Linked DNA regions of Macaca fascicularis. The protein of the gene in region 1 interacts with the protein of each later gene in a biochemical or structural test. Links are inferred from orthologs where the notes say so. Each region holds a gene or a part of one and is shown on either strand. Other genes may lie near its edges. The genes, in order: CD6 and ALCAM.

The links.
Region 2: the proteins of CD6 (region 1) and ALCAM form a complex in vitro, tested with the Homo sapiens proteins (4 studies listed by BioGRID and IntAct). The link is inferred for Macaca fascicularis from reciprocal best matches to the Homo sapiens genes CD6 and ALCAM.

What each region holds. Positions count from the first base shown.
Region 1 is NC_088388.1:13,257,984-13,273,477, forward strand, and holds part of CD6 (T-cell differentiation antigen CD6), read right to left. Parts: intron 9,646-15,494; coding exon 9,577-9,645; intron 8,652-9,576; coding exon 8,301-8,651; intron 7,677-8,300; coding exon 7,365-7,676; intron 6,641-7,364; coding exon 6,338-6,640; intron 5,145-6,337; coding exon 5,079-5,144; intron 3,003-5,078; exon of another isoform or gene 2,805-3,002; coding exon 2,664-2,804; intron 2,325-2,663; coding exon 2,229-2,324; intron 541-2,228; coding exon 418-540; intron 1-417.
Region 2 is NC_088376.1:177,703,141-177,719,112, forward strand, and holds the start of ALCAM (CD166 antigen), read right to left. Parts: upstream 7,895-15,972; 5' UTR 7,198-7,894; coding exon 7,125-7,197; intron 1-7,124. UniProt on the Homo sapiens protein: Cell adhesion molecule that mediates both heterotypic cell-cell contacts via its interaction with CD6, as well as homotypic cell-cell contacts. Promotes T-cell activation and proliferation via its interactions with CD6.

The DNA.
Region 1 (15,494 bases):
GTAAAGAAGTGGGTGGGGCTGATGGGATCAGACAGGGCAGGATGGGACATGGAGGGATATGGGCGGGCAAGAACCCCTGCCAACTGTGTGTCTCATCTGCACTCCCCCATCTCTCACACAGAGAGCCATCTTTAGGTGAGTGTCAAAGGCCTGGTTTTAAGACCCTACATGGCCGGAGACAAACATGGGAGAGACAGAGGTCAGAGCGGAGATGTCCTGAGACATCAAGATGACCCCAGGGTCACAAAGCACTGTGAAAACGTCAATGTGGGACCATTTACAGTCAATCCAGTGGGTAACCAGGGGGATTCTGTCCACGTCATGCAGGGGTTACTAGGTGGGACTACTGACGGTCCCCTCGGGGTCCCCTCCCTGATTCAGGCAGGTGGGCCCTCGGGAACCCAGCCAGGCACTCACTGTAGAAGGTGGTCAGGGCCACAGGAGGTTGGGCGCTGAAGTCATAGTGCTCATAGTCTGAGTCCGAGCCAGAGTCTGAGTCCTCAGGGGGCGGGGCCTGGACCTCGATGGGCAGCATGAAAACTGGGGAGAGAACAGAGTCGGGGGCATGGCAAAGTGGTGGGCAGAAAGGTATAGGGAGAGATGGTAGAGAGTATGAACAGCAGAGGTGAGAGGCAGAGTGGCAGGAGAGCACCAAGTAGCCCTTTTTTTTTTCTTTTCTGGGACAGGGTCTCACTCTGTTGTCCAGGCTGGAGTACAGTGGTGCCATCACAGCTCACTGCAGCACTGACCTCCTGGGCTCAGGTGATCCTCCCACCTCAGTCTCCCTAGTAGCTGAGACCACAGGCATGCACCATCACACCCAGCTAATGTTTGAATTGAGAAAGGTTTTCACAATGTTGCCCAGGCTGGTCTCAAACTCCTGGGCTCAAGCGATCCATCCCCCTCGGCCTCCCAAAGTGCTGGGACTACAGGCATCCACCACCGTGCCCGGCCTGGGTAGCCCATCTTGCACAAACCACCCAGTCTGAAGTTTCTAGGCTGCCTTCATTCATTTCCAATATGGAGAACTAAACATTTATTTAGCAAACGCTTAACACAGTACTTGCTATATGTAAGGCACTATTCTAACACTTACAAGTATTACCTCATTTAACCCTCATGATAACTCTGTGAAGTAGGTACATTACCATCCCCATTTTACCTTGGAGGGAACTGAGGCACAGACAGGTTCTTACCTGGCCCAGAGCCGGCAGTCTGGCTCTAAACCTCTAGACTGTGCTATTCGGTGAGCAACTGCCCTGTGCTAAGCCTTGTGCTAGATGCTGTATTCACATTCTCTTCTCAAATATATGGACACTCTGTGCAAAGGATATTTACAATATTTGGCTGAGTTTTGTATTGGTTTTTATGTCATTGAACTCTTTCCCATAAAGGTGATTGAATATATTCATAATGCAAGGTGATTAAGCTCAAATTCCTCTGCAAGACTTTCAAGAGGCAGAAGTCCATATCTCATAAAGGATGAATGACTGACCTATTTTTTGTTTTTTGAGACAGAGTCTTGCTGTGTCTCCCAGGCTGGAGTGCAGTGACGTGATCTCAGCTCACTGCAACCTCCGCCTCCCAGGTTCAAGCGATTCTCCTGCCTCAGCTTCCCAAGTAGCTGGGATTACAGGTGCACACCACCACACCCCGCTAATTTTTGCATTTTTAGTAGAAACGAGGTTTCACCATGTTGGCCAGGTTGGTCTCCAACTCCTGACCTCAAGTGATCTGCCCACCTCAGGCTCCCAAAGTGCTGGGATTACAGGCGTGAGCCACTGTGCCTGGGCCCAATTTTTTTTTTTGCTTAGAAAACATGAAATATGAAATAAAACCACATTCTAGGAGAATCTTGATGGGGCTTCGCAAGGCCAATTGGGCAGGATGCTGACAGGGATGATGATATCACAAGCCTACCAGCCAAATAGCAGAGCAAAGCAGAACAGAGTTTTCCTCTGAGAACCAAGATCTAGACCGTGCTTAGCCTATATTTGTCCAGAATTCAAAACTCTAGAGTCCTAGTGTGACTGAATTGGAAGTCATCTGCCCTTCAACGTCTAGGGATGACTTGAGCCTGCTCAAGGTCCCAGGGCTGTGAATGGGCTGGCCCAGATCTCATCTCCAGCCGTATGTACGTCTTGGACCTAAGCAGTGCTGACCTTCCAGAAAGTGCACCCTTCTTGTCCTCCCCAGCCCTCCCACACCCAGGATGGGGGACATCCTACCTTCTTTGGGGATGGTGATGGGGACCGGTTGATAGCTATTGCTCCCTGCTGGGTTGGTGGTGGGTAGGTGCTGGTGGTTCACCATTACGGGGAGGGCTGAGGGAGGGGAGGCAGAAATTCTACAAGTCATTTTTTTGCCCTCTCCCAGTCTACCTGGTTCCATTCTGTTCTCATCGAGACACCACCCTCCTCATTCCCCCAACACTTGCAGGCACGCGCACGCGCACACACACACGCACACACATGCACAGAGCCTGGTCCTCCCCGCTGGTGGGTACACGACTGCTGGGCATGCTGGTAAAATCCTTTCCACCATGGGGAGTTCCCCAGGGCCAGGGTCTGGTGGCCATTGCTGGACCACACCACTGCTGCGGAGGTTCTGCCGAGGCCCACACCCCCCTGGGATGGCAGTGGCTCCCAGAACCTTGCACTTACCATATTTTCCTTTAATTCTCAAGAGGATGAAGGCTATGAAGATGAGGGAGCCAAGGAGAAGAATTCCCAGAACGATGGAGGAGATGAAGAGCATTAGCTCCCGAGATTCCTTGTTCTCTAGTTTCACTGTCACAGAAGATTCTGGAAACAAGAATTCCAATGCAGGAAGAGGAATGGGCACTCAACCTTCTTTTTGCCTTTCCATTCTCTATAAAGCTGACCTGCTTCCCTTTTTATGTTATCTTCCTCCTTGCTTTCTTTTTCCATTTTTTCCCAACTTCTTTTAAGTGGGTGGTATACATTAGGGGCTCAATAAATGCATACTGCATGCATGATTAATTGATTAAATGAATTACTGCCTGAAATACAACTCTGGCCACCAGGTTGCAGAGATCTATCTGTCTGCTAGCTCTTCAGTATTTAGTCTTTGTTCAATAGACAATTATTGAGTACCCTGTGTGCCTGGCACTAGACCCTGGGGCTACACATATGACAACAGTATCATAGGCCTTGCAGGGCTTTGTCTAGTGGAGAGGTCAATAAGTACCCCAATCCAATATGGTGAGGTACCTGCTGTGATGGAGGTTTGAACAGCGACACTGGAGGCATGAGGCCGTATAAAAGGCACCCCATTCTCTGTGAGGGAAGCCCAAGGCTGACTTCCCAGAGATGGCGACTCTGAGCCACCTCTGGCAGTGAACAGACCATCAGGAGAGCTGTGCCTGAGACCCCCTCCTTCCCACCAGACATCCCCTCCACGAGGACAGGAGTGGGGTCTGGGATTCAGGGTCTCCCGCCTCTGCAGCCCCACTCTGGGGTGACTTCTTGCCTTCCCCCTCCCTCAGCCTCCCCTCTGCTTGAAAGAATGCAAAGCACAAGAATGGATACAGGGGGCAGTGAGGAGGGTGCCTGGAGTGAGCAGACCACAGGGCTAGATGACTAGTAGTGACAGCGACGGGGAGGGAGATGAGATCATCCAGACCTCCTTGCTGGAAGCAGTGTCTGCTTCCCCAGGAGAGAACCTGCTCCCTGTCTTCATTTTCTCTTCTCCCCTTTCTGTCTGCAAATGGGGAAGTTTGGGCCAGGATGGGAGCTGGATCTGGCAGCAAGAAGTAGATGTGAGAGTGAGGCTGGGTGTTGCAGCCATGGGGAGACCCGTGAATGTGGGCCGAGAGGGCCGTGGCCGAGGGAGGGGCTGATGAACCAAGGACCGGGGCATGGTCCCTGGATCTCTCTTTGTGCTTCACTCTTTGCCCTTCCGGGATGGTGTGGATCCCCACCCCAACTTCAGGAAGAGAAAGTGTGTGCAGGTTGTCTGCAGGGCCTGGCAGGAGCTCGCCCGGCAGCCTGTGCAGTTGTGTGTTTCATTTCCTCTCTGTGCTGTCATCCATGGCTAGGGCCTCTGTGCCCTCTCCCCAAACCCCTGTTCACTGCTTCTGGGGTGTCTGAGAGAAGATGACAGAGAGCTAGGAGGCACAGCAAGGGAGTCTGGGCCAGCCCCTGTGGGTATCCTAGGACTGCAAAGGGGCTCTATGCCTGAACTAAATACTCATAGCAACAGCAGACCTTCAGACAGTTCTTACAGTCTTCGAGGCTCTGTTCTAAGTGCTTTACAAAAATTAATTCACTGGAGCCTCACAGCAATGCTAGGAGAAAGGTGCTATATGCATATCACCCCCATTTTATAATTGAGGCATCTGAGGCTCAGAGAGGTTAAGAGTTGCCCAACAGGACACAGCTAGCAAGAAGCACAGCTGGGATTTGAGTCCTGGGAGTCTGCTCTGATGCCAGCCAAGCTACACACAGCTGGTGGGTAGACCAAGGACGGACCTGGAATTCAGAGCCTTGGTTGTCAATTCTGGCCAGCAATCACTAGCTATGACTTCAGCCTCAGAGCCTCAGCTCCTTTCTTGATGTAAGGATTATACTAAGACCTCTCCCATTTGGCTACAGAGAGGATTAAAGGGTTGGGAAATAATAGCTACAAAGCACTAGGCCCAGTGTTTGGCCTGTTATGAACACAGGGCTGTGTCCCAATGTTCCCGCTACCCAGCTGGGCCAAGATCACCCTACCCCTGCCGCCCCCTGACCCTGACCCCTGCTCGAGGTGGTATCGGCTCTCTCTAGCTCTTTCCTTCTTCCCTCCAGGAGCTCACAGGAAAGTGGGGGAATGGACTCCTGTCCAGGAAGTCTCAGGACTCAGTAATCTACGGGCTGACTTGGCAAGGAGGGGATGTAGAAAGAGTAGAAAGCGACGCCCAGAGAGCCCCCGGGGAGGCAAGTCCATTGGCTGGAAGTGGAGGATGGGGACCAAACCATCCTCAACCCCAACACAGGTGTGCACAGAAACACACACACACACACACACACGTGTCCAAGCTTCTGAGAAACCATGTAGTACCCAGCAACACTTACCTGTGGTGACTGTCTGAACACTTGCAGGGACTTCGGAAGTGGACAGATTGTGCAAACTCCGGGAAGCTGTCAGAAAGCACCGCCCAGTCACTCAATGCATGTTACTGAGCACCTACTGTGTGCCAGGCCTTGGGTTAGAAAGTGAATGGGACAGACAAGGAACCCAGAACTAGGGTTGTGCTCCTATCAGGGGCACGTGGCTAAGGAAACTTACATCCCTCCCCTCCTCCCCCCACAGTAAGGAGGAACTCATGGATTAAATGCTGGGAAGGCTCTTTGATTAGAATAAAGGGCTAATAGAATTATCCCTTCTTCCTGCGTAAGCTGCTACAGACCACAAATCCCTGTTCCATTCAGTTTCAGTTTGTTATTAATCGGCCTAGGGAGATGATGAGCTGACATTATCTTCATTATCATCGTCGGCATTCCCGTTGGGCAGGTATGCTCACAAAGATAGGAGCTTAAAAGTCTCTCAGCAGTGACCATCAGGTTTCCCAGCTATCCTGCGAGGTGCCTAGTATCAGCATCCACACTTGTAGGTTAAGGGACTGTTGGAAGCCTCCTTGCCAGTAAATGGCAAAGCTGGAATTTGTAACCAGGTGTCTGAACGCCGTAAGAACGCAAATATCATGTTTCTTCAGATCTATCTAACACTCACATTTTTTCAGACTTTAACACGTCTGAAACTGGGATCATAGCCTCAATCATTACGTTTGGTGGTTTATTTTGGCAGCGTTTGTTCTTCTTTACGGTACATAAAATAATAATGGTGTGACTTATAAACAATGCCATCTTAGATTTGGTGAAATATGGTAAAACCCAAACCATACAGTGCGTATGAGGCTTAGCTGAAATAAGAGCTACTTAGTGCTCAACAATGCCTAGCATATGATCAGGGTTCCAGAAGCTGTCATCGATATTTTTACTAGGGCCTGCTAATATTATTTTTACTATCATCACCAGGCCTGGGATGGCAAATTGGTTTCAACTCTTGAGTCAATCCCAGTTAAGAGGAACCGTTGCTTAGCATATAATGTCTTCATATACGATTCGTCATTCTGGGGCTGAGTGGGGCATCTGAAAATGCCTCGATGAATTAGCACTGTCTGCCTGGGCACCGTAAGGACAACGGTCCTTCTTATGCCGTATGTGCCATTGCCGATCTGGTGCCTATTGTGGTCCTTGGGCTGTAAGTTTTTAGGACATGGATTCAGGTAGTATTCTGGCTCATATCAGGGGGGTAGAGTGGGATGGGGTACCTGAGCAGAGGACCCTGGCTGCCAGCGACTGGCTGCAGAGGTTGGAGTTGTTGAACCGCCAGGAGCAGTTGGAGAGGGTGAGCTCCTCCCCGTTGCATGAGTAGTACATCCTGCCGGACAAGGAGTGGGGCAGCCCCTTGGGCCTCTCGATCACGGTTCCGCAGCCCAAGGACTGGCAGAGTACCTTGGCCTCTGACGTGTACCACTCACTGTCACACACTGTGTTCCAGACCCCTCGGAAGTGTACCTCCACCTGCCCCTCGCAGGCGTCGGCGCCCCCGGTCAGGCGCCAGGACTGGTGCTCTGCAGGAAAGGGGCAGGGGACAGAGTCCGGTCAGGATCCTTTGGGCAGATATTCCCGTCAGCCCAGACCCACCAGGGCAGGCACCAATGAAGGCATTTGGTCTCCAGATCTTGTGTCTTCTCCCTCCTGTGTCTGTGTCCCCCTGTCACCTGCCCCATCTGCTCTGGCCAGCCCTGCTGTGATAAGTGTGGTCTGTGGAGCAGCAGCATCGGCATTGCCTGGGATCTTGTCAGAAACAGACTCTGGAGCTCTGCCTCAGACCTACTGAATCAGAATCCACATTTTAACACTCCCACCTCCCCCATCTCCTGCATATCAAAGAGAGGCACTGGCTGGTCCAGAACCTTCTGGCCTCACCTGGACAGACCAACAGCCTCCTCAGAGGCCTCCCTGCCTTCAGTCTCTCCTTGCTGCTTGAATGCAGGTGACCAACTCCCGCTCAGGAAGAGTCTCACTTTTAATGTCATCTCTTTCAGGAGGTGGTCAGCCTTAGCCTCCAGCTCCACATTGCCTGCTGCCTCTAGACTCCACCTGACTGCCTTTCTTGGGGGCATTTACCACTTTCTCTCCTGAATTACGTTTGTCTCAGTCTCATCTCACTTCCTGAACTGTGACCTCTCAAGGACAGGGACCACCTCTCCGGCACTAACTCCAGGCTTGGTGCCCAGTAGGCCTATGGTGAGTGTCAGTGGTGACCGCGCTTCAGTGACTCCGCACACTGACCTGAGCACACCACGCCCGCGTCCTCTTTGTGGCCGCAGTAGTGCTGTCCTGGCAGCCCCGGGCAGTCCCACAGGTAAGCTTCGGCCCCGGAGCAGTTCACCTGGTCCCGGTGGATAGGTCCACGGCCGGGCGTGAAGTGCAAGCCGGGCACGGCCTGGACTGCCCAGCCGCAGCCCAGTTGCCTGCACACCACGTGGGCATCCTCCAGGTCCCAAGTGTCATCGCACACCGATCCCCACTCGCCATGCTCCAGCATCTCCACGCGGCCGGCGCAGGCGCCGCCACCGTCCACCAGGCGCAGCGCGCGGTTCTCTAGGGGTGGGAGGGGGTTGTGGACGCTGGGGCACCCGGCAAGGAAGGGAGGGTTGGGGTGATGGTTGGACTGGCAGGAGAGTTGTGAGCATGTTATGGACCCAGTAAGAAGGCTGTAGCCGGGTAGGCAAGACTGGGAATCCCCCCAGGGCTGCAGATGGGGTAGGTAGAGCAGCAGGCTGGTGGGAGGGACCAGAGGCCTGGTGGGCGGGGCCTGGAGGGCAGGTTTGGTATCCTGGGAGCCACAGCGCTAAGGGGAATCCTGTGAACCTGGCATGTTTATGTATATGGGGAAAGGGGAGGAGATAGAGACCCAGAGCGGGCGGGGACAGGGAAGCGGCGGGCCCAGTAAGTGGGGTTAGAGACCGGGTTAACTGGGAATCCAGGAGTGGGACTAGGGACCAAGTGTAGGGGAGTCTGGGGGCCAGATCCGAGGAAATGCTCAGATCTGGAAGTGACTCGACGTCGTCCTCCGGTGTGGGAACCCGGTGCGTTTGCACTGGTAGGCGGTGAGGGTGGAGGTCTGGAGGGCGAGGCTTGGGTCCAGGGGCTGGAGCCAGGGGCAGTGGCTGAAGGCCTGGGGAGTGGGGCAGGTGGGGGCCTGTGTAGGGGGTGCACTCGTACCTGCACAGATGACGCGGGCCCGCCTCCCGTCGCTGCGGCACGCGTGCTCCACCACCTCGCAGAGCTGCCACTCGGTGCCGCTGCACAGGAGGGCGGGTGCTCCGGCCAGAGTGGCGTTAGCGGCAGCGCTTGTGTTCCCGGCCGCCGGCGGGGGCGGCAGCTCGGGGGTCGGCCGGGGGAGCAGGGTGGCTGCCTCCGCCCCACCGCAGTCCAGTGCTCGGCACACGGCCTCTGCGGCGCGGCTGTCCCAGAGCGCCCAGCACACGGGCTCCCAGGACGCCCTGAGCCGGACCTCCACCGTCCCGCTGCAGCTGCTGCTCCCGTTCGTCAGACGGACCGGAAGCCGCTCCCCTGGAAGTGTCAGACCAGTGAGCTGAGACCGGTGGGCCGGGGCAGGCGGTTGCCCAGGCTCTGCCACTGACTCTGCGTGACCTTTGACAACGCCCTGCTTGGCTCTGGGTCTCAGCTTTCCAATCTGCAAAATGGAGCCGGGCCGGCTCATCCCTGATCCCCCCTTGAGGCCTGACCCTGTGATTCTCCTTAGAGTCAGGCGAAGGTGGGGCTCAGGAGTGACTCTAGAGGTTAAGATGGGTGACAGACAACCAGGGATCCAGCCCCCACAAACCCTCCTCACTTGCTCCTGTCTCCAGGGGCACCCGTTTGTGAAAGAAAGGCAGAGTTGTGAGTTCAGGGGCCCTGGCCCAATGGGTACATGCTTCCCCTGGAGGCCCCTCTGCTCCTCTGAGGGTACTGTCCTAGAGGCTGCCACAGTAACCAGGGAACCCTGGAGGATTGCCAAAGGGCTGGCCATGGGGTTGATGATGGGCTGCTTCAGCTGATGGTGGTCCTCACTTCCCCAGAACCCCTTCTTTGGGAACCACCTGCCCCTTTTAGCCCAGGATTGTACCCCCAGTGCCAGCATGCAGCTTTGCATAGAGTAGGTCCTTAATAAATATCTGTGGAGTAAATCAAGGAACCATCTGGTGGAACCCTGCCACCCCCACCAAGAACTCTAGCTTGTTCTCCACAAATCCCCTTAAAATGCTCCAGGCATACCTGCCCACCTGTATGTGACTTATCAGTGGCCTCTCAAAAAATGGTAGTTCTACGATCTCAAAGTGAATTGATAGCGGAACTTCGGGTGATGGGTCAGGAAGAAGTGTTGTCTGAAGTCAGGGAGCCTCCTGGCATCCTAAATGTCCTTCCCTTCTTTATTACCATGGGGGACCACCTACAGAAAGCTGACCATGGACCCCCAGAGACAATGTTTGCTCACCTGGCTGCCAGACCTCGCTCTCTGCACTGCTGGCGTTGAGCTGGTCAGATGGGGCTGGAGACAGATGACCTGAAATGAACCAGCAGGAGCGTGGTGGGTGAGTGAGCTCAGGCCTGGAGGCCACAGAGGCACCCTGATGAGCAGGGGGCACTTCCTGGAGCCTGTGGTGGCTACATGAGGCCTTTGGAAAAGACATGGTCCTCAACTTTGGGTGCATTTGCATTTGCCTCCCTTCAGGGTAGGGAAAATTCTCAAACATTGGCGTTTCAAGATCCTCCGCTTTATCTATTCATTGCACACACATCTTCAGAAATCGGAGTAGAACAGGTAGGAATGGCAGTGGGCGTTGGGGCCAGACACACAAACTGGCTTCGTGACCATGAATGAGTGACTTAATCTTTCTGTGCCAGTCCCAATTTTTCAACAATGATACTTAGGAAAATATCATGAGACTGAAATTAGACAGCCCACAAAATGCTTGATATATAGAAAAACTCGAAAATGGGAGTGATTTAGAAAAAAAAAATTTGTAGAATTTGAGAATTTCATAACAGACTTTAGAATAATTGGCACATCCTCAACTGGGAACCACTGGATTGCAAAGTGTTTTCAGACACTAAGAAACTAACGTTCGCTAAGGACAGGTATTTGCATATATTATTCTATTTATTTTCTTTCTTTTTTTTTTTTTTTTTTTTTTTTGAGATGGAGTTTTGCTCTTGTCACCCAGGCTGGAGTGCAATGGCTCGATCTTGGCTCACCACAACCTCTGCCTCCCGGCGATTCTCCTGCCTCAGCCTCCCGAGTAGCTGGGATTACAGCCATGTGCCACCATGCCTGGCTAATTTTGTATTTTTACTAGAGACAGGGTTTAGCCATGTTCGTCAGGCTGGTCTCGAACTCCTGACCTCAGGTGATCTGCCTGCCTCAGCCTCCCAAAGTGCTGGGATTACAGGTCTGAGCCACTGCATCCAGCCTATTCCATTTACTTTCAACAACACAATGAGGCAGGTATTAGCATTCTTATTTTACAGATTAGGAAAAGGAGGCTCCAAAAGCAAAAATCAGTTGTCCCTGCCAGATAGGGTCCATTTATTCCACCAGAGCTACTATCCATTCTGCCCTGGGAGGCCGACCTGTTTGAATTAACCCCTGTCTTCCTGGGCCTTATGGCTTCTGCCAGATTCAGCCAATGGGGAGCCTTAGCAGAGATAGGAAGAAGTGAGGAGAGTGAAGATGTGACACTTATTCCTCTGGCCCCACCTGTGAGGTCCCTCGGGTAGGCTGTGTCCCTCATGTGAAGGACATTGTTTATTCAAGGTGACCTCTCCTTGACTGTCTCCTACTCGGACTCACTGACCGCTCCTTGGTTGTGTCTCCTTTGGCCAGAAGTTGCTCTTAGATTCTACTTACTGCATTACCTTGGTAAATAGTTCTTCTGTAAATGAGTCCCCTTTAAATTCCTATTCTAGGTGTGCCACCTGGTTCCTGCTGGGACCCTGACTGATGCATGGCCTGAGGCCACCCGGTGAGCAAGCTGCAGAGCCTGGATTTAAACTGTCTTCAAGGACTTGCCTCCCCTCTGGGCTGGGATGTTTGGGCTTGCAAAGCACAAAGGGAGGCTCTGGGGCAGGGACTTTTGTGGTTGCATATGAACTCCTCTGCATTTCCTGGTTTCTCTTGCACTTAGGGTGGGCTGGTTGAAGCCTAGACAGAAGACGTGTGCCCACTTTTGAGCCAAAGCAGGGAAGAGGTAGTGAGACTTTTGCACTTATGTCTTCCCTGTTGAAGCATATTAGAGGCCCTGGGTTGCCGAGGAACTGCAAGAGGGAAGGGGATGTTGACCCGGCTTGAATTTTGTGTGAGTAAGGAGTAAACCATGATCATGTTAAACCATGAAGATTTGGGGGTGTCCTTGTTACTACAGCCTTGCCTAGCCTGGCCTGACCGATACAGAGGCTGAAGACTTGGAATGACCGCTACACATTCCTGGAGTTTCACCTGAGCAGATTCCACGGACACGCCCCCTGAGCCTGAGCATGTGTGTGTGCGTGTATACACCCTGGCAGACAGCCCTCTCCAGGAAACCGTGTGGGCCTCTCCATCATCAGGCAGAAAGTCATCAGCCCTCTAATTGCCGTCCTCGCTAACTCCCTGGCTATCTGCCCAGCCTGACCTCCTGGAGGAGAAATGACTCCAAATTCAGAGCACAAACTCCGTGGCTGATGTATTATAATAATCAGCGCGAGAATTCAGATGCCCACAAGTTGGGATTTCAGAATCTCGGTTCCCACAGCTACGGTCCCAGTGCTCCAGCATAGTTTTCAATGTTACGACATGCGGTGGGGGAGGGGGATTGAACGATGGCTGCAGTGTGTATGACTGTGAGGTGTGTGCATGTGAGTGTGTGTGAGTGACTCTGTGCATATGTGATTAAGACTGTGTGTGTGAATGTGATGTGTGTTGGGGTGGGGGGCCTTTAACTCAACTCTATATCATTTCTCTCTCTGGGTCTGGAAAACCACTCTCTCATGCATAAAGACACAAATGTGTTCTCCTAGATCGGAAAACCCTAGAGGGCAGGGCCCACGGCTGGGTCAGCCCTGTGTCCCCCACAGTGTCCAAGGCAGTGTTTGTTGATTGACTGACCGAATGAAAGAGTGAGCAGCAGCTGCCAGCTCCAAGGCAGTTGGTTGAAAGCAGATAACCTTGAGGGCTTTATTTTTGCAACAAGCATTCTCCCATCCCCTATCCCAGGAAGGGAACCTGGCTTCTCTGTTCTCTGACTTCTGCACTACAGGAAGAAAAACAGAAATTACCTGGAACCATCTTTCCATCCAGGCCTCATTTCACAGAGGGCCGAATGCAAGATCAGCGTTTCTCAGACATCATGATCACCTTTTTTGTTTTGAGACAGAGTCTCGCTCTGTCGCCCAGGCTGGAGTGCAGCGGCGCAATCTCGACTCACTGCAACCTCTGCCTCCTGTGTTCAAGCGATTCTCGTGCCTCAGTCTCCCGAGTAGCTGGGACTACAGACGCTCACCACGATGTCAGCTAATATTTGTATTTTTTTTGTAGAGATGGGGTTTCTCCATGTTGTCCAGGCTGGTCTTGAATTTCTGAGCTCAAGTGATCTGCCCGCCTCAGCCTCCCAAATTGCTGGGATTACAGGCATGAGCCACCGCACCCGGCCCGTTGTTACCACCTTTGCCTGGCCCTGTGCCTCACACTTTTCTTTAAATTGGTTCACTTTTTTGCTACAATAAATGTATTTGAAAAGCAGCCTGCTATGGTTTGAATGTGTCCCAAAGTTCATGTGCTGGAAACTTTATCCCCCAATGACCTGTGTTGAGAAGTTGGATGTTTAACAGTTGATTAGGGCTGGGCGTGGTGGCTCACGCCTGTAAGCCCAGCACTTTGCAAGGCTGAGGTGGGCGGATTACCTGAGGTCAGGAGTTCGAGACCAGCCTGGTCAACATGGTGAAACCCCGTCTCTACTACAAATACAAAAATTAGTCGGGTGTAGTGGCACACGCCTGTAATTCCAGCTACTCAGGAAGCTGGGGCAGGAGAATTGCTTGAGTCCGAGAGGCGGAGGTTACAGTGAGCTGAGACCATGCCACTGCAGTCCAGCCTGGCCAACAGAGCTAGACTCTGTCTCAAAAAAAAAAAAAAAAGAAAAAAGAAAAGAGCTGATTAGTCATGAGGATTCTGCCTTCATGAACGGCTTAATGCTGTTATCATGGGGGTGTGTTGGTTATTGCAGAAGTGGCTTTGTTGTAGAAGTGAATTCAGCCCTCGCTCTGTCTCTTGTGCACTCTCCGGCCATGTGATGCCTTCCATTGTGTTATGATGCAGGGAGAAGGCCCTCATCAGATGTGGCCCTTAAATCTTGGGCTTCCCAACCTGCAGAACTATGAGAAACAAATTTCTTTTTGTTTTAAATTACTCACTTTGTGGCACTTTGTTATAGCAACACAAAACAGAGTAAGAGCAAACCTTTACCCTTTCCTGTGAATTTGCTTTTTTATGTCATTAAAGACACCTGAACATAAAAATATTCACTGCAGATTTTTTTTTTTTTTTTTTTTTTTGAGACAGTGTCTCGCTCTGTCACCCAGGCTGGAGTGCAGCAGTGTGATCTCGGCTCACTGCAACCTCCACCTCCCAGATTCAAGCAATTCTCCTGCCTCAGCCTCCCAAGTTGCTGGGATTACAGGTTCCCACCACCACACCCTGCTAATTTTTTTGTATTTTTGGCACAGATGGGGTTTCTCCATGTTGGCCAGGTTGGGTCTTGAACACCTGACCTCAAGTGATCTGCCTGCCTTGGACTCCCAAACTGCTGGGATTGCAGGTGTGAGCCACCGCACCCAGTCCACTGCAGATTTTTGAATGGCAAAAAGTTAGAAACAGCGTGAATGCCCATTTACAGGGGAAATTATTGAATCAATTATGGTCCATTTACAGCGTGGCATCTTATGCAGCCTTTATAAAGAATGAAATAGACCCAGATGGGTTGGCAGGATTTCCAAGCTGTGTCGAGTAGGAAAAGCAAGACGCAAAGAATAGAATATAATATGATACAATTTTTGTAAAACAAGGCCAAAAACCGCCTCTGTGAACTGGTATGATTACAGGAACATGAAGACAAGTGTGGGAGAACACACAGCAGATGATCAAAATGGAAAAATTAAAAGGGTGGGCTTCAGGGGAAGAGGCCGAGAAGGACTAGCTCCACGGGCTGGTGGACTGTGTGCAGGGCCTTGTGCTTAGAAGGACCTGGCCCTTGCTTGAATGCTCTGCTGTTGCCATCTTGAAATTCCTCATAATTTCTTGAACCAAAGACCCTGCATCTCCATTTTGCACCGGGCCCTGCAAATTACGCAGCTGGTCCTGGGACACAGTCACAGCCATGGAAGATTGCAGGAGGAAAAGCAAGCAATGAAGGTAAAAGGCTGTAGTTTTAAAATCATGTATGATATGATTCTATGTATGTAAAATTAGGTGTGTATGTTGATTTGAAAAAAATTAGAAGATATTAAACCTAAAGGGACTATTTATATGACTTGCCTAAAATAGAAGGTAATTGTAAAACTAAGCATACTAAAAACAAAGCCATGTTAGAGATGTTAAAAGACACATCGTCAGCAGGGTGCAGTGGCTCACACCTGTAATCCCAGCACTTTAGGAGGCTGAGGTGGGTGGATCACAAGGTCAGGAGTTTGAGACCAGCCTGGCCAATATGGTGAAACCCTGTCTCTACTAAAAATGCAAAAGTTAGCCAGGCATGGTGGCGGGCACTGTAGTCCCAGCTACTCGGGAGGCTGAGGCAGGAGAATCGCTTGAACCTGGGAGGCGGAGGTTGCCATGAGCTGAGATCGAGCCACTACTGCACTCCAGCTGGGGTGACAGAGCGAGACTCCATCTCAAAAAAGAAAAAAAAGCAAAACACCACATCCTCATCAGACTATCTGATAGAATCAGAAGGAATGACAGAACATTGGAAAAATAATAATAATTTAAACTTTTATTGCCACGTGATTCAGTGTTATTTAATGCTAACTTCATTCACCACCTGAAGTTATACTGTGTGCCCCTGAAAGTCTTCTCTAATTGTGCCCCATATTCTGGAAAGTGATGGAACAAGACAGGGAAGGGATGGAGGGGAGCGGTTGGTTTCAGAATAGGAGAAGAAAAAAGGTTGGGAGCCCCGACTCCAGCCCAGGAAGGAGGCGGCTTTTTCAGGCCAGCCCCAAGCAGATGCCCCCGAGTGGGACAGGACCTCCGATGGGGTAGTCTGAAGAAGACTCCGGTGGAACGGGCTGCGAAGGAGACTGTAAGCACAGGAAGAATGAAAGCACAAAAGACCTGCCTTGTCTGGAATCTGAGAAAACGGGACACTGATACTCCTGTTG
Region 2 (15,972 bases), on another chromosome or scaffold:
GTCTCAAACAAACAAACAAACAAAAAAACAAAACCTCACATTATAATTAGAAGATTTCTTAGTGACCATGAAATCTCAGGATGGGAAAGTTTACTATTTGACTTGAATATTCAGAGCATTAGGTTCTTAAAAAAAAAAAAAAAAAAAAGAGCGAGAGAGAGAGAGACGGAGTTATACCACGTTGGCCAGGCTGGTCAGTCTCGAACTCTTGGCCTCAGGTGATCCACCCGCCTCAGCCTCCCAAAGTGCTAGGATTATAGGTATGAGTCACTGAGCCTGGTCCCAGAATTAGGTTCTTAATAATGAGTTTTATCTATCTCAACAAAAAAGCTATACCTGTTAAGGAGACTGGGCAAGTCATGGCTGCCAGTTAGAGGGGCCACTTACTTTCACCATAAAAGAAAGTGTTTGGATTCATTAAGTATAATACCTTCAATAACCATATTTGGCCCAGCTCCTCTACTTTTCCTGTTTCTCCAATAACCAAAGCCTTTTTCATCCTTAATCACAGGTCCTTTACTAATATACACGTTCTTTTCTTTTTGTTTTTCATTAATACTACCAAAGTGCCATCAGGTCTTGATGGCCTGTCCCACTCTGTTCTTTCATGATGGTTTTATTTTCCAATTCAATTCTCAGTGAGGATATTATATCCCCAACTCCCAAACTTCTTGAGAAAATTTCCTAGTAATCCATGAATGTCAGGTGCTGCCATATGGAGTTTAATTCTCCACAGATGCATTGCTTCTACTCTATTTAATGCAAAAATAAAAATAAAAATTTTAAGCAGCTTCTAGGTGTCAAGTTCTTGACTAGACTTGAGGATACATAGACAAAGATAATATTTGGTATTCAAAAAATTTATGTTCAACTGCAAAAAAAAGTCACTAATATCATAATACGATGTGGTAAAAGCTACAGCAAAAACAAGTACAGGGAAAGGGAAAAGTTAAGACTCATTTTAGTCATTATCAACATTCCAATGTTGATTCTGCACCAAAGGCAAGTAAGTACAGGAAAGTTTTTTTTTTTGTTTTTGTTTTTTTTCCCATTCACAGTTCAAATAAGGCAACCTAGACTCTCTAAAACTATACAGATGGAGAGGATAAAAATCTACTTACATCAATTTCTAAGGTGAAAGTATATTTGAGATTTATCTCCCTCAAGAAAACATTGTGTTGGAGTGCTGGTTGATATCTTAATCTACAAATTCAGTTAACTTCTTTGGTTAGAGCTTCATAATAAGTTAAAGTAATCAAAAATAAAGTCTTTTTTATTATAAATTCCAATCTTCCTAACATTTATGGATTTGATATTACTTGTTTTCACTGTTTACAGTAGCCCCATAATCCATGATAAGTAGCAATTTTTTTTCGAAAAGCAGGTGTGTGAATATCCTACTGGGGAGTCAATCTACCTGGCTGCCAAACCAACTCATACCATGAAAAGGGTATTGCTTTATTATTCATTTATTCATGGAAACTCGTATGATGTAATAAAAAACTTGCTTCAGAAAAAGGGCCAGGTGAGGGTAAAATTTTTCTAAAACTTGAAATGTGATTTTGCAGAGCTAAACAAATTATTCATAATGGAAGTGTCATTGAGCAAAGGCCAGAAGACTACAGCAATTGCCATGATCATAATATGTTTTCCTGTGAATGAACATCAAGAGTCTATAATATTTATATGATTTGAAAAGATTGCAAAGGTTGAGTTTCATCTCATAGATGTTTTTCGTCTTACTTGGGCCAAGATTTTCCATCAGTTCCTTAAGTGATACAGAAAAGAGCTAAAACAATAATAATAACAGTAATAGAGAAGCAAATCAGAGAAGTTGGACAGCTGTCTAATTTCTGATTAGCCTATTCCCCAGCAGTTTAGTTTCATTGTGTTGAAGTACTATGAATTCTTAGACCAGACAAGCACAGACATGTTCATTGAAGTACCTCAACGCAAAGTCAAATTAAGTAAGCCTTTGGTTAGAAGCTGTTTTGGATTGTGCACAACTCTGATTCCCCCTTATTTGAATGGATAATTGAGAACTGACTGGATAAGTAAGAGAGGAAGCATTAAAAGCTAATTTCATTCTTGGAACATAGACTACAATAATGGGCTATGATAATAGGTTAGCATAAAACAATTACTGAATACCACAGCACATTTGGAACTAGGCCTATCTGAAATATATAAGGTATTCCATTCAATAATAAGGGAGAAAAGAGAATGTAAAATTTATTATTTAAGCAGAGAAATTAGCTGCATGAAAATATCAGTAACTCCAAAAATATGGTAATGTCTTACGTACTATAGGGAGACTGTAATAATTGTAGGATGTAGCCTTACCAAATAGCCTGCAATATCCTCTTCCTGAATATAGAATATCTATTTTAGTCTTGAATTTACTCTCCACAAGGAAAGGAAAATTCTACCCTAATAAAAAAACTAATCAAAAGTATAAATGGATTTTTTCCATTTCTTGTTGAAAATAAACTAAGCTGAAATCCAAAAGTAATAACCAAATAAATGTTATGACCCACCATTCCCGAGAAACCATTATTTAGTATTCCAGTAAGTTAGTTCATTTTTCGTATGTCACATACATGTGTCACGCACATAATGTGTAAGAAATGAGATGAGCCTTTGTGAAAACTTAACAATGAAGAATAAAAATAACACCTAGTGAGAAATTACATTTAAGTTTCTATGTATACATTGAGACAGAGAGATACTCTTCTATCACAGCTATACCTAAGTGGATCGTCTGCATATCTGGGCTGTAAATTGCATGTGTCTACTTGAGTGAATACCTTTAGGGAGCCAGAACTCTTTGATGGTGTTTTATTCTAAATAAATGGCCAGAACAGAAAGAAGTGTGTTTGGAAATGTAAAACATGGTGATTATAAAGCATTTAAAATACTATCTGACAAACTGCTGTCATCTGACACCAAGTAATACTGACAACTTAGGTGGTACTAAGTTTTACAAAGGCCCATGGTTAGTCGCATGAAAATTTGAGGGAGAAAAAGAAAAAAGAGAGAGGAAAAAAAACCATATTTCCATTATTTTAATAAAATGATAAAAGTGATAATTAAGTGGAATAAATTAAAGAGTGTTATTCTATTAACAATATAATAAAACCCTTAATTAATATAGCATGTTTTACTTAAAAAATTTGAAATGCTGAGCAAAGGAATTCTAATCTCAATCACAACCATGCATTGCACAGAAAGAAAATTCACAGATGGGAAATGAAAAAGAGCAGAAAAATAATTTTCCCAAGGTCACAACATTCTTACATGACATAGTTAAAAACTCAACACATGAATACTTACTACAATATAAAATTTTTCTAATAACACAAGACTATTAAAATGGGTTTTTATTAATGTTCTTTTTGATAAGTCAGTGGTAGACATGCATTTTCATCTGAATGTCTATTAAAAAAGATAAGCTAGTTTGAGTTTTCTACAAAGTAAGAAAAGGTTTGGAATCTGGTAAGACAAGATATTTTGGATTTCTACAAGTTTTAAAACAAGAGAAAAGTATTAGTATTTTCTATTTCCTTCTGTCTTGCATTTACAACCATGTTGCAAATCAACTTCTCTGTTGAGCAACTTTAGGATGTACAGTATGAGGCTTTGTAACATGAACATTTAAGCATAAACCATCATTTATATCTCATTCTAGGTACTATGTGTGCAGTTTAAATAGGGGCAGGCTTGCAGGAGGGATGGGTTACACTACAGGGCTTTCTGAGGCCTACTATCCTTTCCTGCTTTTGGGTCCTCTTTTCCCAGGAGAGTGGAAGGCTAATTTCTCTCCTTCACGCTTTTTTTTTCCCCCTACTAAGGCTGGGAAGAGTAAGCATAGATGTTATCATGAATTTTTATCATGAATTTTTAAAGGTAGAAAAAAAAAGGAAATTAGAAATTGGGGTCCACTGATACTTTTCTAGTAATACAATTTATATGAATTTTGTCTAGACTGAGATCCTTAGAAAAATAGTGTTGAAAAATGACTGTGCCTGCCTAAATTGGTTTTTTACCTTAAGACTTCAGAAACAAAGAGTTTTTGAGCTGGGAGGCATTTCAGAGTGTAGGTCTTTAGTCTTGTCTTTTTGTTTTATATGAGAAAACTGAAGCCCAAAAAGGTTAAATGATTTGCTTAAGTGCCTGAAGGTAGCTGTCCTGAAGAAAGCCTAGAAAAGCAATTTACTGCAAATAATACTTCATTAAATTGTAAATTGCTATTGGATTAAATAAATCCTTAAGGAAAAAAATAATATATATTGGCTATTAAACAGTTTTCAGTTTTTAAATTAATCAATGTTAGTAGTCCTACATCAATAGTCTTTGAAAGGACATTATTTGAGTTGATGCTTTCCCAAGTCCTTTTGAGATCAATTGATATGTTTCAAACATAATATCCCACTGAAGAAAGCTTTATGTGTGCTCATGTCTTAGGATGAATCTTATATCAGTGAGTAGTTATGAAAAATCCCATCGAGGGGTTCACACAGATGACCCAAGTGAAGAGTTAACTGCAGTGCCCCACCTCCTTGTTGTAAATAATCCAGAAAAGCCTTTTTTTTTTTTTTTTTTTAAAGCAATACAAAATGTCACCACAGGCTGACGCTCTTTCTACAAGAATAATGAGATTATTGCTACCTCGGATGCTGAACACACATTTCATTGCCTTTATCTCTGAATTCAGTTTTCGTTTTCCTCTCCTTTCAAAACAGGTAACGAGGCACGCCTAAAATATATCAATGACTGTGTAGCGACTACAGGCCAAAAGACCCGGGGAAGCAGTTTCACAAACTCGAGTTTTTGACCTCTACAACTGGACACACACTATTAAAACTGCTCCGGAAATGAAGGGTGGCCGGCGGGGAAGTCAGTTACCCCCCTCAAATGAAGCCAGCTATTGGCACCGCATCCCCACCGGGCTCTGTTATTCAGAGGGCCCCGAAGGAGGCGCACTCACTGTCCAAGACTTGCGTCCTCAGTGTAGACACGGCGCCTTTAGTGCTGTAACCTTTCCCTTTAAAACACACTGATATTGCAATGAGAATTTCGGCAATGCCAGCTCGGTAATTCACAGAAACCACGGATCTGAGGGTCCAGAGCATCGGATCCTCAGATTCACCGTGGCTGGCTGCGGTGAGCCGGGGCCAGCCGCTCGCTGAAAGCGCGCAGCTCCGTGCCCCCTGGACACACGAGTCTGTGGCGCCAAAAGAATCACCGCGCAGGAGGTCTGAAAGCGGAACTTTCCCCCTTTTAGCAGTTAAATGTGTAAAAAAAAAACCTATCCTGCGACGTGGCCCGCCTGTGACGGCACAGAAAAGGAAACTGGGTATGTGCCTGTGGTCAGGGGTGTGGACGTAGGTGAGATTACATTCTCCAAGTATCGAGAGGGTTAATCGGAAACCAACTCTGGGCGTGTGGACGTTTGCATCTTACAAACCGACATCACCCTTGTCCTCCCTTCTTGACTCATTCCCTGGCTCCAAAGTGTCATTTTCTCCATCGGACAGTGGAATCTCGAAAAAGTGAAATCCACACTGTGCCAGGCCCGAGGGGTTCTCGCCTTTCCATCTACCTCCCCAGCGTTGTTACACTAGGACACCTGCTTTAAATCCGGTTGAACTATGGTTTCACAGTCCCCGCCCCAGAGCCCGAGATTTGTCAGAGAACGCAGACGCCTTTTTTTTTTTTTCTTTTTTTTTTTTTCCCCCTCAGCCTCAGAAACATCAGGTGAGCTCATTACCTCACCCAGAAATGTAACTTTAATAAAGAGATCTGGAGAGGGCACTCCTCCCGCCCACACACACAGCAACGGCAGCAGCAGCAGCTCACAAACACTTGTAATCTCTTCCACAGGCTCTAGCCCCCAAACCCCTCTCCCTGCCAGTTCCTGGGAGAGATTCAGAGGCTTTCAAACCTCTTCTGTGACCTGAGCTTGCCGACAGCTGAAGGGATATGCACGGATAAAAGGAAGTGAGGTTTTTCTTTGATAAAAACTAAAGAAAAAGCTAAGAACAAACAGGCCAAAATACCAGGAAGTAGGAGTTTAACTGGCAACTGTCTACGCAGGGATAGAAATAAAAACTTCAAAGAAAAAAAAATCCCCCAAATTTTCAGTTTAGGGGAGCAAAGGAACCTGCTGCTCTGTCAGGCAACTGTGAGCGCACAGAATACCCTGTTAGGAACAACTTGTGTCAGCCGCCAGGCGGGTCTGAGGATACCAATGCCAGCGGACGTCCCCGAGGGTGCGGAAAGGGATTTCCCGCGAGATATTTTAGTTGTTGGGAATTTTGCCTTTCTCCCCCCCCCCCCCACCCCATCTCTCTCTCTTCTAAGACTCAGTACAGAACTGAGAACTGAGGTTCTATGAGCAGGTCCTGGAAATTCACAAGCGTCTCACTGAGGTGTCTCCCAGACCTAGCTACTAATTCCTGTTCAGGCTGTGTTATCTGCCTGCGGTCACCCTTACACTCACCACCCGCCCAGACAATGGACGGGGACCGGAGGGGGGAACGTTGAAACCACGATTTGAAGCATCAGTAGGTTTCTCAAGGTGGGCGTGGGGGGCAGGAGGTGATTAAAGTCCTCTCCTTCTGTACCCCTCCCATCCCTTCCTCTGCTCACCAAGGGGAAGTTACAAGGGGATTTATCACGAAAAAGTGCCGGCAGTTATTTCATCCGAGAGCTAAGCGAAAGAAAAACCGCTCGGGGCGCAGTGACGTGGACTTGGATACCCAGAGACAGGAGGAACTGTCAGAGGGCGAGAGTCCGCCGCCTAGCTGGGAGTCGCAGGGACCAGCGGAGAGCGTCAGGCGAATCCTGCCCACGGGCCCCTGCAACCACAACCCCGGAGCCCCAAGTTCTTGGAGATTCACCCAGTTTCCCCAGCTTCATGCCCAAACTTGAACCAACCAGCCAACCCCAAACGTGCGGCACAGGTGACCGAGCCCGGGGACAGCTCTGTGCCGGGACAGAGGTCCCCTTACCTCATCCATGCGCCTAGGCGCACTGCCTCGGGGGTGCGAGGCTGGGACGGGGACCTAGGAAACTGCTCCAGGCCCACGTCTGTCTGGGGCTGCTCCCAGGCCCTTGCTCACCTGGCCTGAGGACGGTGGCGGAGATCAAGAGGCAGAAGAGCAGACGGCAGGAGCTGGCTCCCTTGGATTCCATATTCTTCCTCCTTCTTGGAGGGCCACTGACGGAGTCCACGCCGCAGGAGGGGGCGTCGTCCCGGGCCCCGCGGTGCCCGCGCGCTGGCGGGTCCCGACACAGGGGCAGCGTCTTCTCCCAGACACACCGTCCCCTGGGCTGTGGCGCTGCACCTTCGGGTCTCTGCCGCACGCAACTTTCCACCACGCAATGCCCCCAACTCCTCCTCCCTCCAGCTCAACACCAGCCCACTGGCCCTTCGGCTGCTCCTCCGGGGACAACGACCCTCTCTTTCCAGGAGACACTTGAGTAATTCGGAAAGGTGTAAGCGGTTCTTTTCGCTGGTATCTTCTTTTATTTTCCTTGTCTTGGGATGATAATAATAATGGCAGTGGCAATGTGCATGAAACGCCGAGTGCTAAGGACTCGCAGGAGGCAGCAACGGGGGGCGGCGGGTCTCCTCAGGTGGCAGCGGTGGTAGCAGTGGCAGCGGCAGCGGCGGCGGCGGCGGCGGCGGCGGCGGCAGCGGTCTCCGGGCTGCTCTGAGTAGAGGGACTGGAAGGCGTGTGTAAGCTGCCTCTTTCCTCCTCTCCCCGCCTCCTCCCTCCCTCCGGTCTCCTCCCCACTTCCCCGGACGCGGCGCAGAGCAGGTGGTTGAAGCAAGGATCCGCAGCCTAGAGGCGCTGCAGGACTGAGTCCGAGCCCTGAGCCCAGCTCCGGGATCGGGGAGAACCATGTGCCCCTGTCCTAGCGTCCGGGTGGGCGGGGTTTCACCGCGGCTCCGCCCCCAGGTCCAGGTCCGCCAATAAGGAGAAAGCACAGGAGCCGCGCGCTCCCGGGAGAGCCCTGGGACTAACACTTTCTGTGATGTTGCAGCGCGGTAGTGATAAGGCCTTTGGCTTCCAACTCCCCACCCACCCCGCTGAGGTTTAAAAATCGACTGCCCTCTTCCTCCACCCATACGCCCATCTCACTGACTCATTCCTCAGGGATTTTTCTCCGCGGTGCTGCTGCAGCCTTCTGTCCTGTAAAGACAATAGTGGGGCAGGGCGGTGGCGGTGGGGAGCGAACTTTGGGTCCAAGAGCCGTAGTGAAGGGAAAAGGAAAGGGCAGGAGGAAGTGGCAAAGGTGGAAACTTGCTTCCTGGGAGTTAACAGGAATAGCTACTGGTTGGCAGGGGCAATCCCCGTACTGGACTGATTCCTCCTGTACTTTTCGAATCTCTCTGCTCCCCCTGCTCACTCCCACCACTTCCCTCACCCCCGGCTGGCATAGACTTTGTTTTAAAGGAAGACCACGTGAGTCGACTGCCCGCTACCAAACAGAAGATATTTGTTTTTCCCGGGGGAAATTAAATCCGGAATTTCTAAACCGTACTTCGTCATACGGATTTTCCCAATGTCTACAAAAGCCCTCTAGAAAGCTTGTCACTTTTTTACTTTTGTTAAGCGGTGATTTTAAGTTACAGACAGAAAATTATCAAATTATTTCAGATTAAAAGCCAAGTCCGTCTTGGTCCGTTCTCGAAAACCAGGCACTCCAGCAGATGGACAGGCTTCTCAGGCAATTTCTAAAGATTGAACCACCTCCCAGGCGGAACATCGCGAAGCTGTGTCGCTTTCAAATCAGGCAGAGAGCATGAAGGGATATTTTCCTCTAGAACACCGGGGTGGAGCTGTCGGAGCCCTAAGTGGCTCTAAATCAGGGATGCAGGATCACAACTCTCATCACCAAAGAATAATAAAATCTTGGTCCCTGAAGCACTTCGCTGGGGCATTAAATAGCCTTTCGTACATCACAGGGTCACCCTTTTGTGAGACTGGTCTCCAGTAGAGGATGCCAACTAGTAATCGTTACATACTGAACTTTCATCAGAAGACTGCGAGTTACCAGCGAGACTGGAGACTCGCAACACACACACACATACACACACACACACACACAGAGATTTTAAAAAGTATTTATCTTTTAGTGCTCTAAACTATTAAGCCCCATCTTCAGCTGTAATTTTTCTCAAAAGCCTGCTTGTCCTGTTCGTCCAGTTCTTCTTACATTAACAATATTCTAGAGTAGAACTCTTATACTATATTTTTTTTCTCTCTCAAAATAAGTAGTTTCTCCCACTTAGTTTAAACATTAACATTTCATTTGCATCTTATGAATCAACAGGAAGGCTATCGCTAGGAGGCAAATGCCTTTTAACTCTATATTCCATGAGCTAAGTTTGGCTGAAATGCTAGCATTTCCATGGACTCCTTTATAATTCCTTTAGGGAATTGTTTTCTTTTTCACTGTGGCTATAGGTGGGGCATATTAGAATAAATTGTCCTAACAATATATTTAACCTAGGCCCTCGAACCCTCTATCTGACCTCCTCTATTTTGCAGTGGGAGTTTATACAGCCTAATTGTTTAAAAGTAGATTTGCAAAAGGAAGACTGATTTGGGCTCTGATACTAACTGTATGATCTTGGTCAACCCATTTAACCTCTCTAAGCTTCAGTCTCCTTTCTTGTAAAAAGTGGTAATAGTGCTAGCCTCATGGGATTGCTGTGAGGATCAAATGGGATCAAACACACAAACACGTGGAATTCTGGGGGCAACTGACAATACAAATATGTCCATATTATACTCATACACATAAACATGCATATATATATGTGCATATGTATAATATATATTTGAATGCATAGTCCATTGTTTCCAGAATTGTTTTTAGAAAGGAATGTGTCCTAGTTTAGGAAAATGCCTTGATAAACCACTTGGAATAGTAACTCCAAAGGCTATTGGTCATAAAAAAATAATGGTGAAACTGCTCTATATTAAACAAAATAATAACCATTAAAATAGAAATTTGGCCTGGGAGTGGGGGCAAAGGCAACCACACAAAGCATGAGTTTAAAAATGTTCAAAGGTCGTTAGATCTATTAATTAGCAACACTTACATGTTAGAATATTCTAAGCAATTTATATGAATTAGATGTATTCCCCTCATAAAAAGTTATTGAAGGAGGTGCTATTTTCATCTTCATTTTACTCACGAAGAAAGTAAAACCCAGAGACTTGAAGCAACTTTTCCAAGGTCACCCAATGATTCATAGCAATGGTAAAGCCAGGGTTCTACCCTAGGCATTCTTATTCTTGAACTGAATTCCAGTCTACTTTGCTCATCGCTATCCACTTTGCTTATCAAGAATGCATAACAATAAATGTATGGCTTTTTTGGTGGGGTGATTGATTTAAACGTAAGTTCTCTCATCCTTTCACATACATTTGCATTAAGGAAATTTACTAATGAAGCAGCACACCCTATCTGCATAGGCCAGGTACAGTGCATGTGAGATGACAAGACCATTTCTAAACTGAAATAATGTAGCATAAGCAAGAGCTCAGAGTTAGAAATAAACATGAGAATGTAAGCTCCACAAAGTAATATAATAGAATTTATCTTTCAAAATCTAGTCAATGTGGGATTGGATCCATCTTACTTAATTCTTGAGAGGAAGAGTGTTTCCAGCTACATGTAGATCACAGTCACTTTTGTTACAATTGAGAATACATAGTATTCCAATAATATTTATTGTATAGTTTAGTCATGCATCAGAGCATCATAAGCGTACATCTTGCTGAAAGGGAAAAATGAATAACATTTATCCAGGGGGGAAAAATTTCACGTTACCTGGGACATGAGAAGAGCTTTGTATTTTAAGTATAAAGGAATTCATCATCAATCAGGATGATATGCTCAAAGCAGTGACATGGTACCAGAGGCAAGTTTCCTACTTAGGGTCTGTTGAGATCAGGACTCAGGATTCCCAAGGCTCAGGCCAGGACCCCTTCCCTGTACTAAAATTTTAATCCCATCAGTATGTGACAACATAGTCAATTGTGTGTGCATTTGAAGAATGGAAGTAGTTTTTCTCCCCTTATTAGTCACCACAAAATTTCCACTGGAGATGAAATTTCAACAAAGATAGTTTTGGAAGGTGAAAACATTTGTTCTTACCACTGTATATCATTGTGTTTTGTTTGCCTTCCTACTCCTTGAACAAAATTGTATACAATTCAAGCGCATGCAACAAATCTGATTCACTCTTCTCTCCTTCAACCCTCACCTACGGTGAGTACATGTTCAGCCATACTTTAAAAATAGATTGGACACTTGATAAATTTTTGTGAATGAATGATAAGTGATGAGAAAAAATACCTAATAGAATATAAACCTTCAAACAAACTTACAAGGGTTCATGTTATGAGAAGATGAAAGGGGTATCCATTGGGTCTTCAATGATTGGTCTAGGCAGACTAAGGTTTAGGAAAGGCAAAAAGAATGAGTCAAGTCCTAGTCAACAAGGTGATAACTTTGAAGTATAAAGTGAGGAAACAATCTACGGGAGAAAGACTGTACTAAATTATGTGCCATCAATTAGAATAAAACAAAATGGCCCATGCTGAGCACAGAAACCTGATTAGTAAAGGTTCTAAGTGACCAGGCAAGGGCTTAGGCTAATGTGCTGATGACAAAGATTGAAATAACGGCCTAAGTGGGATTTATATTAAGTCTAGGAAGATATACAATTTTAAAGAGGCACAGAGATTACATCTGTATAATATAAATTTCTGTTTTTTTCTAGACTCCAAGTTTTTTTAAATAAATGATTTCTAATGTTATTGCATTAAATACACATGGAGGACCTCTGGGTATATCTCTTCCTGAGTCCATTGAATTTTACTGTTTAATTTCAATTGTTAACCGTGTCGTCTGTCAATGAATTAATACAATTCTGCAACTCACCTTTTCAATAATGCTAGCTAATAAAGACATATCACTGAAGCTCAGGAGAGTAAAAACTTTCAAAGTCTATGATAAACATTATGTTCTTATTTCACAGAACGTTCAGTCTGGGTACAAAAAGAAATGCATAGCTATTTCAGTTGAACTAGAAATCCACTTAGTCATTTTCCTTCCTGTCTCAGACATGAGGAATGAAGAAAGAATTTAGCTACGCTATTTGACTATGAAACTTACACTATATAAAATGAATTTCAAAAACTCCCAGTGTATTAAAAACTCATAATTCGTGGGTGATTTCAGTAAGTGCATAAATGTACGTACAAAAAGTGTAACAGTCTGGGTTTACCCCTTAACTTGAGGGTTTCTCTTCCGAGTGTTCCCACTTTCAACTGAAATAAGCAGTTCTTTTAGTTTTGAGTAAGTAGAAAATGACTCAAGGTATGGTTATTTAAATGTTTGATGCTTTAAAAGAAATTCCAACTTGAATTATATGTTTTCAAGAAGTTTCCCAGAGTTATCTCTAATTTCTTTGATATATATTGATTACCCATTGTGATCTGCAATAGTTCTATTCAGGAATATGAGGTGAATATATAATGACTATAAAAATATGAAAATAATATATATTTGATTTTCTAAAGCAAAAACGTCACCTTGGATCTAATGGATTTCTAGAAAGTCAAATTAATTAATTAATTACTAGGCCCTAATTATCCATACTATTTTCCCCTTAAGTAAGATAGTTAAGCTTGCAGGAAAGTATTAACAAACGATTGTTGGACAAATGTATGTTTTTGCTCCCTAAAGAGCAAAAACTTTTTATTATTGATTAGCAAAAAAAGAAGTATTAATAACATGGAGTCAAGGATCATTGATCATATACTATAAGCAAGAACTTTTGAATTTTAATATTTTTCAGGGCCTTAGAACTATCTTAAGTGAACTGTTTTCAATCTTTAAAAGCAACCCTTTTTCTTCTAATATGGGAATACTCTGAAGTCCAGTTTTATATTTACCCCTTGTTCAATTTATTCAAATCATGGTAGTCTCCTCACTGCTCCTAAATGTACTTTGCATACTCCAACCTCAGTGCCTTTGCACTTCCTCTTTCCACTCCTTGGAACTCTTTTCCCCAAGTTATTACTGTAGCTTACCTCCTCATTGAAGCCTTCCATAAACAAGTATTTAAACTGTCAGTCCCAGCCCCCAAATTCCTTTTCCTGCTTCATTTTTCTCCATAAAGTTTATCACCATATAGCATAACATCCATTTAACTCATGTAGTTTGATTATTGTCTGTCTCTCTACCATAATGAAATCTCAATGAGGGCAGAAGTTTGTGTCTGTTTAATATTCTTCCATATGTTTAAAATAGTCACATAATAGACACAGGAGACTATTGGATTCAAAAAGTCAGGTTCATGAATACATGAATTATTGTGCAAGGTAATTAATAAGCTGATAGAGGTGGGGCTGTTTGGGCTGAATCTTGATAAGAAGCCTGAGGTTTCACCTCCTCCTGTAGACACTCTAAAGGTTTCCAGGACAGTTAGATAAACCACTGGAATAATCTAACTACCTCATATAACATATGAGGTAAGTAATTGAGGTCCCAGGAGGCAGAACACTTAACCAAAATTAACATAGCTATGGGTACCATTCTTGTTTAAATGCAAACTACTTCTTTCAAGTAGGGTAAATATACAAGATACCCTATAACTTTTAAGTCAAATTCTTAGTATAATAAGAAGACTGGATGCATATCAGACACCATTAATCAATTTCAAATATGGCACATTTATCCAAACTCTTTTCAGAGCAAACATTCTGAATGATGTTCTGTATAACATTTCACTAAGGCATGATTATGGATGCAGTACCAATATTGCAAAGTCTACAGACTTAGTTAAGTATTAAAGAATTTAAGCCTCAGTGTTCTTTATACTTTGTTCCTTACCGGGTGAATTTGGCAAAATTATAATTCTAAGCAATGTATTCCACAAACATAGATGATTCATAACCTATTCAGCTCACAGTGCTATAGGACAAATATTTAATTTAATTTAATGTCCAGCGTTTTAACATTACGTGGAGATGTTTAATGTGTTTACTTTTCTTTGTAAGGGAAAGAAATTTACTTAATAATTGTACCTCAAGGTGAAAAGCTTGTGAGAAAATGCAATACATATAAAACAGTTATATAAGACAATGCATAAAAAGATTTATAAACATGTATGTGCTTTCATTGAAATCACCAGAATTCTGTGATGTGTTCTAGATGACAAGGAGGTAGATGAAATTATTTCAGACCTTGGCTTCCGGTTTTAAAATGCTGTTAAATCTAGTTAATTGATATACCTCATAAGGAAAATTATTTGTCTTATTATGGAGAATGGCATCCAAGTTTTAGAGTGAAACATCCTGTGCAAGAGTGGTTAATGTATCCAATTAGAAAAGAATTTCTAACTGGTTGCAGTGGCTCACACCTATAATCCCAACACTTTGGGAGGCTCTCTTGAGTTCACGAGTTTGAGACCAGCCTGGGCAACATAAGGAAACCTCGTTCTTACAAAACCAACCAAACAAACAAAAAATTAGCAGGGTGTGTTGGTGTGCACCTATAGTCTCAGCTACTTGGGAGGCTGAGGTGAAAGGATTGATTGAGCCCAGGAAGTGGAGGCTGCAGTGAGTCGTGAACTGTGATAGTGCCTAGGCAACAGAACCAGTCCCGGTCACACACACACACACACACACACACGCACACACATAGAATCTACAAATGGTATACTTCTCAAGTAATTTTTCTAGAATCAAAGACATTTCAAAAAGTGCATAGTCCAAGTTTATTCCTTGGATTTTTCAGGCCTGAGGCAAATATCGAGGCCAGGATTAAATGAACACTAGATGTAACCTCTGAAGCCAAAGGAACTCCAAGGAGAAGCTTGAAATGCACATAAAGAGTGGGAATCACATCATTTAGCCAGACTGAGAAGGTGGGCCTTAGTTACTCACACCAGTAGCTTTGTCCCACACCAGAAGCTGAGTCATCTTCTATTCTCAAGCTTTCCCTCCTACTGCCTCCAGCTCCTCAGATCTTCCCAGAAGGACTCAGAAAAACTCCCAAATTGCTCTATCCTGAGGTAGCTCTACCCCGTCTGCATAAATTCCCTCTGTGAAATTTAAGTTGAAATAACTTCTCCTAGTGATGATTTGTCCTTCCAGTTTGAAAATGATCAACATCTCTTCTCTCCTTTCTTTTCTTCCCAACTTAATGCCTTGCCTTTGGCCCGTTTTGTTAAGACTTACCACGTAGAATTAAATAATAAAGCCATGGGCCGGGCGCGGTGGCTCACGCCTGTAATCCCAGCACTTTGGGAGGCCGAGGCGGGCGGATCACAAGGTCAGGAGATCGAGACCACGGTGAAACCCCGTCTCTACTAAAAATACAAAAAATTAGCCGGGCGCGGTTGTGGGCGCCTGTAGTCCCAGCTACTCGGGAGGCTGAGGCAGGAGAATGGCGTGAACCCGGGAGGCGGAGCTTGCAGTGAGCCGAGATCGCGCCACTGCACTCCAGCCTGGGCGACAGAGCGAGACTCCGTCTCAAAAAATAAATAAATAAATAAATAAAATAAAGCCATGATAATTTATGAATGAAAGAATGATCAGTGAGTATATTGTGGTCTGTGTGCCAATGAAAGAAAGAGATGTCCAAAGAGAGATGAGTCATAGGTCAGAGAAACAAAAATAGAGTAAATTAGCGAATCTTAGAATATAGGCCAAGAAAGAAATTTAGCTCTTAGTATTTTCCCATTACCTCCTCCTCCCCTCTTTTCTTAAAAGTTAAGGAGACATTATTTTAAAAGTTAAGGAGACATTATTTATTTGTATTATCCCAGCCAGCCAGCAGGAGTCTGTTATCAGGTAAGGATTTTTTTTTCCCATGGTTTTTGTAATGAAAGTAACAAAACCCAACTCTACACAGCCTAAGCAAAAGAAACAAAGA